Callithrix jacchus: one gene and its partners. The protein of the gene in region 2 purifies or fractionates together with the protein of the main gene of each other region. This does not show direct contact. Links are inferred from orthologs where the notes say so. Each region holds a gene or a part of one and is shown on either strand. Other genes may lie near its edges. The genes, in order: FBXW11, CDC25B and CDK1.

Region 1 (3,653 bases), on a different chromosome or scaffold from region 2:
TGGTGTTTGCAGGCTTGTGCTGATAGAAAAGACGATTCCTTCAAGAAAGTAAATTTTGCAGTGAGTCTGAGATGACAGGAAGAAGGAATCTTGACAGCTGAAGAAGTGAGAATAGTTCCAAGCTTCCAGTTCTTGTTGACCTCTGACAGGCCTCTGAGTCTATTATTTATCCACTGCAAATTGGGTAAGTCATGATGCCTCATCAATCATCACATCCACTTCTTTATCCGGCTGCTTTATGGACAAAGCCAGGATCTAGCAACTGCTTTGTACATCCAGGGATTTGGGGGCAGCACCTCCACATCATGGCTTTTTTGTAACCCTCATTTCCTTAGAGGACAAGTTCACACAGGGCAGAGGAGAAAAGACTCAGGCCTCTGAGGCTCAGACACAATCTCTGGCAGAAGCAGTGGTACAGAAGCAATGAGTCCAGAGGAGGATACTAGGCGTGCTTTAAACGGGTGGTGAGAGTGTCCAGGAGTGAAGTGAGAGGCTAATAACAACAACTAACATAAAGAGGAGTGAAAAGGGGAGAACGTGGGTATCCAAAGACAGACTCAGTGACCATTCCAATCGCTTAGGCTCGTGTACCTGTAAAACAATCCTCTTCAAATATCTGACCCAACCCAGAAGAGCTGTTTCCTTCTCTTTCACATTTCCTCCAGATACCAGTAGTCTTGCTGAGGCTTTCCTGTGTGACCTACAGCTCTGATGGCCTCATCACTACACCCAACTCCCAAGCCCATCTGGTGTGAAAAAAATGCGTTTATCCCAGAGGTATAGGAATGGATATCAATAATGTTCCCTTTCTACTCGCTCACCTCTTACCCAAACGTCATTGCTTTCCTTGTACTGCAGAACATTGCCACTTTCATCTTCATCATTCTGCCACTCAGTGACAAATGAAAATCAGTGCTTCCACTACTGGCAAGGCTACATATACAGTCATGACTTGAATCAATTCAAGGTTCAAAATTTATTAATTCTGTGACTCTGAGCAAATTATTTAATCTCTCTGGTCTTGGTTTCCTAATACAACTCCAAAAATGGAGGTAACATCTGCCTCTTCAGAAAGGTTGATGTGAGAACTGATAAAATGATACAGAGTACCGAGTATACTATCCGCTCTCACATTTTACTTTCCTGGTGTTGCTGAAAAGATTCTGCAAACTGCTTTTGAGTCTTTCAGTATTTGTAGGTGGTGCCCACCACACTCCTAGAATAGCTGCCTTCCTCCTCTCTGCTCTGGACCACAGTTTCCCAAAAGGAAAAAGCCAGACTAATACTTGGTATGTGCTCGTACAGGAAAGCATGTTATCATCTCTAAAATGAACAGCAACACTCTTAAATTAGCTGTTTTGCCTAATTTGCTCAAACATATCTACAACAAAAGTAGTTTGAAACACAGCCTGTAAAAATGTATGCAAAGTTTATGTATGCCTCTCCCAGAGGAGGATGTCAATCACAGACTTTCTCAGGGAAGGCTTACAAGATCAACAAAGCCAGATCACTCACCTCACTGTAGAATCTGAAGAGCCAGTTACAATGACACGCTCATCATATTGCAGGCAGAGGACAGAGCCTGTGTGTCCTGTTAACACTTTCAAACATTCCAGGCTGGTTTTATCCCAAATCTATTGAGACAAGATTAGCCACAAACAACGATTTATTATTATACTATATTTTGATGAATATTACTGTCCCACCTTATGTTCTGATTATAAAATGAAATACTTGGGTTATAGTAAATAAGAAACATTGAATATCAAACAGGTAAGAAACAAGTAGGAATACAGACAATAGTGGTTAACTACTAGGATAGATGTGCTATTTTGTTTAATTTGAACCCTTAGCTATTAATCTCATTACACTTACCAATGGCCTCATAAAGGGAACTTTTAAAAAATAAAATCTGTGAAAAGAAGTCACTCACTGGCTGGGTGCTATGGCTCATGCCTGTAATCCCAACACTTTGGGAGGCAGAGACAGAAGTATCACTTGAGCCCAGAAGTTCAATACCAGCCTGGGAAACCCATCTCCACAAATTTTATATATGTTTTTTTTTTTTTTTTTAATTAGCCAGGCATGGTGGTGTCTGCCTGTAGTCCCAGCAACTCGGGAGGCTAAGGTGACAGGATTGCTTGAGCCCAGGAGGCAAGGCTGCAGTGAGTCACAATCACACCACTGTACTCCAGCCGGGGTGACAAGGCAGGACCCTGCTTTTCCATTTTATTTTATGTCTCGTAAAAATAAAGAAGTGGCTCAATCTCTGGAAAGCAACATGACAACATAACTATTAAGACCTTTTAAAAATGCATACCCCTATGTTTACAAAAATAAAATGTCCAACATTTCATAAAAGTCTCAAAGTAAACTATGAAGAGTTTTTAATGAGAAAATATCATGCTTCATTACAAAGTTAAGCATTTTTAAAAATCAGAATAAAAATTATAAAGTGACACAATGACTATGTATATACTGCAGAAAAGGAAAAAAGGATTAAAGGAAGGAAATTGTTATTAATAGTTGTTTTCATACTCCTGAGTGTTCCTTTTCTCGCTTCTTTTACGGCTTCCACAGATTTGTCTTTTCTAGAATGTCACAGAGTTGGAATCATACAGTATGTAGCCTTTTTAGATTGGCTTCTTTCACATAGTAATACACATTTAAACTTCCTCCCTGTCTTTTCATGGCTTGATATACGTTCCTTTTTAGTGCTGAAAATTATCCCTGTTGTCTAGATGTACTACAGTTTATTTATCCATATACCTACTGAAGGACACCTTGGTTGCTTCCAAGTTTGGGCAATTATGGGCAAAGCTGCCATAAACATCTGGGTCCAGGCTTTTGTGTAGACATAAGTTTTTGATTCCGTTGTGTAAATATTAAGTCGCACAACTGCTGGATCATATGGTAAAAGTATGTTTAGTTTTGTAAGAACTGCCAAACTGCCTTACAACGTGGCTGTACCATTTTGTATTTCCACCAGCAGTGAATTCAAGCTCCTGTTCCTGTTGCTCCACATGCTCGCCAGCATTGGGTGTTGTCAGTGTTCTGGATTTTGTCCATGCTAACAGGTGTGCAGTGGTGTCTCATTGTTATAATCCACATTTCCCTGATGACTTACGTGGAACATCTTGTCACATGCTTATATGCCATCTGTGTATCTTCTTTGGTGACATGTCTGTTAAGGTCTATGCCTTATTTTTTTTTTTTAATAGGTTAATTAATTTTCTAACTGTTGAGATTCAAGAGCTCTTTCTATGTCTTTTGCATATATTTTCTCTCGTCTGTGGCTTGTTTTTTCATTCTCTGGACAATGTCTCTCACAGAACAGAAATTTTTTATTTTAATGAAGTCCAGCTTATTCTTTCTTTAATGAAGCATGCCTTTGACATTGTATCTAAAAAGTCACCAACAAACTCAAGATCATGTGGGTTTTCTACTATATTGTATTCTACAAATTTTATGGTTTTCTGTTTTACATCTAGGCCTTTAATCCATTTTGATTTAATTTTTGTGAAGTATATAGGATCTGTGTCTGTATTATTTGGGAGTAAAGGAGGCAATATGGTGTCTAGTTGCTTCTGCCCAATTGCTGAAGAGACTATCTTTTCTCCATTGTATTACCTTTGTAAAAGATCAGGTGACTA
Region 2 (3,653 bases):
AGGGGCAACATGGCAGACATACCATGGTTCCTACAGAGGTTAGGGGCTGCTGTGGCCTGGGAGATGCACAGGGCAGAGAGCTGACTCCCAGGCCAGGAAGGAGTTTAGCTGTGACCCATCCTTGGGGACCAGGGCTGTCCCCCAGCCTCAGCTGACACACATACAAAGGAGCTTTTCAGGACACAGGAAGATGAAGGGTTAACCCTAACAAGGGAAAAACCTCCTGGAGGACACAAAATACTGCCTTTAAGCTGGTATTAACCCAGCTTAACTAACTCAACAGACTGGGCTCTTCCAGGAGTGTGGGGGCACCAGGATATGGAAAATGATGGGATGAAACAGGGGAATCGGGGCTGGGGCAGACAGGCAGGATACCCACACCATCTTTCCCAAGGACAGCACCTGAGGCCTCCAGCAGGCCCTCAGCCAAGCAGGCCCGTAGGGCAGCTGGCTCCAGGCCTTGAAAGGCAAGGGAGGTAACAGGACCGATGCAGGCCCCTCACTGGTCCTGCAGCCTGCTGCAGAGCTCCCGCCGGCTCCGCTCCCCAGCCCAGCTGCGGGTCTTCAGGCGGAAGGTCTTTAGCTCATCCTTGAAGGCCTGGTGGTTCATGGGCCGGTAGTCCTGCGGTTCACAGAAGTTCTAGGGCAGGATAAGAGGGGTCAATGCAGTGGAATGGGTAACCTTGGCAGGGACCCAACCCTCCCACCCCGCTTCCCAGGGCTCGGGAATGGCCAAGCCAACCCTCACACAGAGCTGGTGGCATTGCCACCCACGCTACCGGGTGCTGAGGGAAGAACTCCTTGTAGCCGCCTTTCAGGATATACATCTCGGGATAGTAGAGGCTGGGGTAGTCATTGACAGAACGGTCTCGCTCCCTGATGAAACGGCACCTGAGATGGCACGGGCAGGGTGTGGTCAGAGCGGGGCATGCAGTGGCTTGTACATCATGGGACCTATTCCCCACATCCACTCCTCTGAGGGCCCTGGGAAGCCACAGAAGGCTTTTGAGTACAGGAATGTAACCACAAGAACACTTTCAGATCAGTCTGGCTATACAGAAGAGGGTGGGGGAGGTGGAAGGAAGAAGGTAAAATCAAGGGAATGGGCTCTCCATTTCTAGAAGACAGTTGCACCATCTTTGTTAGCGATATCTGTGCCTGGACCAGGAAAGGAAAAGCAGGAGAGGAGACAAGTGGGCCAAATTCAAGCGATCCATTCAGGTCACTCGTGGATAAGACCCAGTGAGGACCAGTGGTGGGGAGAAGGGAGGAGGAGGGCCCAAGACTGAAGCCAGTGCCCAGGCCCAGTGCCTGGGTAGAGGTGGGTGCCATGTGCTGGGATGCCTGGAGAAAATGGGAGGGCAGCAGGGATGAGGTCTCTGTAAGGGGCATCTGGGTGCAGATTCCCAGCACATGGGTGAGGCCAGGCTGGAGAGCCACTAGCAGTCAGATGGACCAGTGGCAACCCAGGAAGAGGTAAGGGTGGGAGGACGGATGGCCAGGCAGAGCAGGAACAGAGATGGAAGGAGCTCAGCCAGGGTTGGGGAGGCCCAGGTGCTGTGGATGCCAGCAGAGCAGGTTCCAATGGAGACCTAACAGCACCGAACACTGGAAGGGTCAGGGTCACTGGAGACTGACACAGGGCCCTTGGATTTTGAGAAAGGCACTGCTAGAGACTTGGAACCAGATTTTCTGGTGGGTGGCGGCAAGGATGGGGTTGCAGACATGAGGCCTGATAGGCAGGACTGTGAGGGGGAAGGGAGGTGGGTACCATGCACAGTGAAGAGGGGCTGAGGTCAGCTCCAGGCCATCAGGTGGGACAGTCCAGCAAATCTGGTTCCAAGTCTCTAGCAGTGCCTTTCTCAAAATCTAAGGGCCCTGTGTCAGTCTCCAGTGACCCTGACCCTTCCAGTGTTCAGTGCTGTTAGGTCTCCATTGGAACCTGCTCTGCTGGCATCCACAGCACCTGGCCATCACAATGGTGCCAGCACATGTAAGCCTGGGCAGGGAAGGCTGGGGCAAACACTGGCTGGCTGGGTGGAGCTGGGACTCACATTCGGGGCCCACGCTCAGATGAGAATTCACAGTGGAAAATGAGGATGACTCTCTTGTCCAGGCTACAGGGTGTGATGGGGCTCTGCAACAGAAAGCTCTCGGCGTCTCGTTCCAGAGGCAAGTTCACCGCAGTCTGCCAGGAAGCCAGAGGTCAGGCACAGCCCGGGGCCCCTCCCAGGAGGCAGGCTCCTCCCCCTGCAGTCCCTGTCCTCCTCTTACTGGTCAGGAACTCCCCATGAGAGGGCGTACCCGTCCTCCATTCACTCTCTTAGCAAAGCAAGGACCTAAACCAGGTGGGATCTTCAAGGCCTCTCCCCACCTTACCTTGATGTGCCCACCTTCATACTCATAGGGGTATCTGCAGTCCACAATCACAAACTTCTCCACGATGTTGCTGAACTTGCCCATCAACAGGGCCACCATCTATAGGAGGTCATGGGAGTCGGTCAGGATGGCAGCTGGCAGATGGCCCTAGCCTGTCCTCTGGCCTAGTCTATGCAGCCCGTCCCCAGGGAAGGTCAACAACGGAGCTGCAGTCCTAAATGCGCCCAGAAAATAGTGCAATGCTGTTTACCGTTTCTGGTGAAATGTACTTGAGGTCTTGGTGCTTTCCATCGACAGTCTGTAGGAGGAAGGCCTGAAGGGAAGGGAAGGGATGGAGAAAGTTAAATTGGTAAGACCAGGAGCCTGAAAAGGATGAAGTTTCATTTTCAAGCCCAGAGGCCACACCTGCTTTGGCCTTCAAATTCAGCTCTGGTTCCCATAGCAACTGAGAAGCACCTCTTGGGTCTGACACCTAGGGAACAACCTTCCAAGGGGAAAGGAAAACGAAAAAGGGAAGCGGAAGAGATGGACCCCACACTCTGCTCCCTACCCTCTGCCAAGCCCACAGGTGAGGCATGAGGGGGTTCCAAGCTAGGTATGAGCTTGGAAATAAGATGGAGATACAACAGATGGCTGGAGTAACTTGAGGTAGAGTCAGGGGACCAAGGAGGGCCAGAGGGAGGAGTCTGTGTAAGAACAAAGGATAAAAAGATATAAAGGACAACCCACGTGGTGGCTCACGCCTGTAATCCCAGCACTTTGGGAGGCGAAGGTGGGTGGATCACCTGAGGTCTGGATTTCAAGACCAGCCTGGCCAACATGGCGAAAACCTGTCTCTGCTAAAAATACAAAAATTAGCTGGGCATGGTGGCACATGCCTGTAATCCCAACTACTTGGGAGGCTGAGGAAGGAGAATTGCTTGAACCCAGGAGTTAGAGGTTGCAGTGAGCTGAGATCATGCCACTGCACTCCAGCCTGCAGGATGGGAGCAAGACTCCATCTCAAAAAAAAAAAGATACAAAGGACAAAGAAAATGGGGGCTCTGGGAGAGAGGGAGGAACCCAAGCAGCCCCTGGGCTAGAGGGTTCCTAGTCAGTAACAGGTCCAGCCCCCCAGACTCCTTCGATGCCACAGGTACCTTAGAGTAATCTCCAATCAGCTCTCGGTGGTCACTGTCCAGGAGGTTCTCGATCTCATCATGACACAGTGATTTTGAGCGGAGGACTCGGGCTTTCTGGAAAGTGAGTCAGATGGAGGCCAGGGTCAGGGGTGG
Region 3 (3,653 bases), on a different chromosome or scaffold from region 2:
AGCTACCTTTCTTAAGACTCCGACTAAAGTGTCTTCAGGACTAGAACTCCTAAGTAAGAGAGAGTTGACAAAGCTCTATAAAAAGGGCTTTATTCCCATGGCCAATTTACCTTGCTTTTCCAGTCTCAAATATTAATCTACATCACCAAGCTCCTGTGACTGTGTTCCTGCTTTAACAGCCTATTCTATTTTACATATGTGCAGCATTCTCAGCTAACAAAAATAGTAGGGTTCTAGTCCACTCAGTAAAGCTAGATCAAGAAATTAAGCAAATGTTAAGATTTCCAAGTTGAAATTTACATTTGAAACAGCATGCAGAAAATGGCTTACATTCAGATATCATTCCATACCTGACTATATTTGGATGACGAAGTTCTTTTAATAGAGAAATTTCCCGAATTGCAGTACTAGGAACCCCTTCCTCTTCACTTTCTAGTCTGATTTTTTTCATGGCGACCACTTGACCTGTAGTTTTGTGTCTACCTTTATACACAACTCCATAGGTACCTGAAACAAAGTAAATAATACACTGTGTGACACAACCCACAAACTGAAAGATCTTTTTTTTTTTTTCCTGAGGCAGGTTCTTGTTCTCTTGTCCAGGTTGGAGTGCAGTGGGGCGATCAAAGCTCACTACAACCTTTACCTCCTGGGCTCAAGGGATCCTCACACTCCCATGTAGCTGAAACTACAAGCACATGCCACCACACCTAGTTAATTTTTGGCAGAAATGGGGTTTCACACCATGTTGCCCAGGCTGGTCTGGAATACATGAGCTCAAGCAATCCACCTGACTCACCGTTGAAAAGTGCTGAGCCACCATACCTGGTCAAACTAAGATTTTAAGATTATTGAATCCCATAGGGGTCACATGATAGAAATGTCTGGCATGGCCAGATGGGAAATATCTTACTCATACCCTCATTGCTTCCAAAAAGAAATTGAGAGTTGCCACAATCTGTATGGCTTAAAAATATGATTCATGTAGTCATCACAAGTTTTCTATACATTTAAATTACCGTTAATGTTCCAGCATATTTTACAGAAGAAAATAGATCATTTGCAAATTAAAATTAACCTCCTGCCAAAATCCTACCCAGCAATAAAGTCGGCATAAAATATAGTGTAAAAATGTGGGCTCATGAAATACTACTGATAAGAGTCACCATGATACTTTTAGAAAATTCTGCAGTGTTTTATGCTTTTCATAACACTTTCATCTATATCTCAAAATACAGTAAACAGTCCTCATTCTCAAAAGAATGGAGATAAAAGACCAGGTGTTTGTTTATTAGACCTATTAAAGCACATAGTATGTACTATATATATTAGGAAAGCCTCACACCCATTTGCAAGTTGATGAAAACACTGATTTTGATATATTGGCTTCAGGTAATGCGCAATGTCAATTGTAAGGGACAGTAGGGAGGGAGGAGGTGAATACAGGGAATGAAATGGCAATAAGCAAGAAGACTGTCTAAAATACATCATATATGTGGCAGCACTGAATTCCCTAGGTAAGTCTTTGTAAAATTGGGTCGAAGTTTAGGGAAATCCTGAACTCCTTAAGTACACATAAAATGTTGTTGAATGGCTTTTGCTTTCCATGGCATTGGTTTAACTTCAAAAGTGATTAGGAAGAAGGCCTCTTCTATAGCTTTTATGAGTTTCTCTGAAGGTACCAATATTTCAAAAAAGGCTAACAACCAGCAAATTACCAACTGCTTAGTTAGAATATTAAGCCCTTTGAGCAGTAGCAAATTGATGTTACTTAAGCTTTGTTCTAATTTTTTGACAGAGACTCTACACAAAATCTGTTTTCTTAAATACTGATGTCATTTTAAAACTATAAACTGACATAAAATTCATTTTATATTATTTCAATTGTGGATTAATGTATAACTTGTTGATAACCAAAATTACTCTGTTAAAGGAGAACTGACTATATTTTATCCTCACAGCCATCCTTAAAAGTAGGTAACCTTCATACACATAAAATCTATACTTTTTTGGATATAAATTAAGCTCACATTAAACACAAAAAGTAGGTAAACGAGTAGCACACTCATCTAGCATACTGTTAAAGAGATCTTGGGAAGATTAGTCACCTGCAAAATACAGTCAAATAAGCAGTTAATGGTAAATTCAGAACTAATTTTTTTTCTAACACCCTTTCTTTTCCCTCAAGTGTACAATCTCATCTAATCCTAAATAATTTTCAGAATTAACAATTGATTAACCAGTGGCCAACAATCAATGTGTTGAATTTTAGAGATAATATTACTTCTCACTGAACTACTGGAATGGGATTAAACAAAGCAGAACTATTCTATTGGTTAATCATCCAAAATTATTTTTTAAATACATCATATATGCTCCAAACTGAACTAAGAATTCCAAAGATAGAAATACTCTAGGGTATCTAACTAATTATAAATAACTAAGGAAGCAAAAATCATTAACACAGGTAAGCCTAGGAGATCAGCCTAAATCTACCAGAAGACTTATCCCAGGAAACAAACAAATAAAAAAATATGTAAAATATGATCAAGTTATGGAGGCCCATAAGCAGAAGAACTTCCTTAAGTAAGTATTTATCAAACGCCTACTAAATGCCGGGTAAGGTTTCACTACCATGGATACAGCTACTCCATGATCCAAAAAGACATTTTCTTAAGACAGGAAGGAGGAGTTCAAGGATTAGTATGACAACACTCAGATTTCTGTAATTCAGAAGAAGCCAGAGAACAATTTTTGTAATATTTAAAATAGAAAAGTCTGGATGTATTTAAGAAATGAATTAGGTTGTCAAGACTCACTGTCAACTGAGAGAAAAGGCAGAGACTGTCTTTTCAGAATTAAAAGAGGTATTAACTGCCACATGAAAGGCATGACCTTGGGTAAATATTCAGAATATACCCACAGATTTAGGGGAAGAATATCTCTACAACTTACTTGAAATGCATTAAAACGCAAAACATCTGAATGTTCTCACCACAAAGAAATGATGAAGTGATGGATAGGCTAATTACTCTGATTGGATCATACAACACATACATGTATCAAATCACCAAACCATACCCCATAAATATGTACCATTAAAATCTGTCAATGAGAAAAATAAAAAATAAATTTGTGTTAACATACACACAAATAAAGTAAATATGACAAAACACCAATATCTTCGTAAAGTATTACAAGTTCATGCATAAATCTTTCAGTATATCTATAGATTTGGAAATGTTCAAAAAGAAAAGTTGAGGGGAAAAAAATATAACTTTAAAAACAGTACTTTAATACTAGACTTTAACCAGATACCTGGCAGAAACAAAAAAAAAATTGTGTGTGGATTATTTAGGCTTCCAATTATTTCCACAAGTTCATTTTTCCAAAATAATATCCAGAACATAATCCAAAACAATCAGGCACTGGAGTTGAAAAGACAATCCAAGCCAGAAAAAGAAACAACAGAGTTCAGAAGAACAAACAAGGAAAATAGTTGTTATTATTATCTATTCATGTATCTCCTGTGTATTATGCACTACTGCCAAGGAGTGGGCAAACAGTTGTGAACAAGACAAAAATCCAGCTCTCAAGGACCTATGGTATAATAATTAAAAAGGATATTAAGCACGATGCAAAGGGAACTACAA

Evidence for each region.
Region 1: the proteins of CDC25B (region 2) and FBXW11 purify together in Homo sapiens (affinity purification with mass spectrometry; 14 studies listed by BioGRID and IntAct, counting the BioPlex papers as one, with this or other methods). This does not show direct contact. The link is inferred for Callithrix jacchus from reciprocal best matches to the Homo sapiens genes CDC25B and FBXW11.
Region 3: the proteins of CDC25B (region 2) and CDK1 purify together in Homo sapiens (affinity purification with western blotting; 4 studies listed by BioGRID). This does not show direct contact. The link is inferred for Callithrix jacchus from reciprocal best matches to the Homo sapiens genes CDC25B and CDK1.

The regions. Positions count from the first base shown.
Region 1 is NC_133503.1:64,156,224-64,159,876, forward strand, and holds part of FBXW11 (F-box/WD repeat-containing protein 11), read right to left. Parts: intron 1,635-3,653; coding exon 1,516-1,634; intron 1-1,515.
Region 2 is NC_133506.1:11,330,935-11,334,587, reverse strand, and holds part of CDC25B (M-phase inducer phosphatase 2), read right to left. Parts: intron 3,615-3,653; coding exon 3,519-3,614; intron 2,693-3,518; coding exon 2,630-2,692; intron 2,479-2,629; coding exon 2,380-2,478; intron 2,189-2,379; coding exon 2,055-2,188; intron 892-2,054; coding exon 780-891; intron 641-779; coding exon 500-640; 3' UTR 1-499. UniProt on the Homo sapiens protein: Tyrosine protein phosphatase which functions as a dosage-dependent inducer of mitotic progression. Directly dephosphorylates CDK1 and stimulates its kinase activity.
Region 3 is NC_133513.1:69,669,330-69,672,982, forward strand, and holds part of CDK1 (cyclin-dependent kinase 1), read right to left. Parts: intron 508-3,653; coding exon 351-507; intron 1-350. UniProt on the Homo sapiens protein: Plays a key role in the control of the eukaryotic cell cycle by modulating the centrosome cycle as well as mitotic onset; promotes G2-M transition via association with multiple interphase cyclins.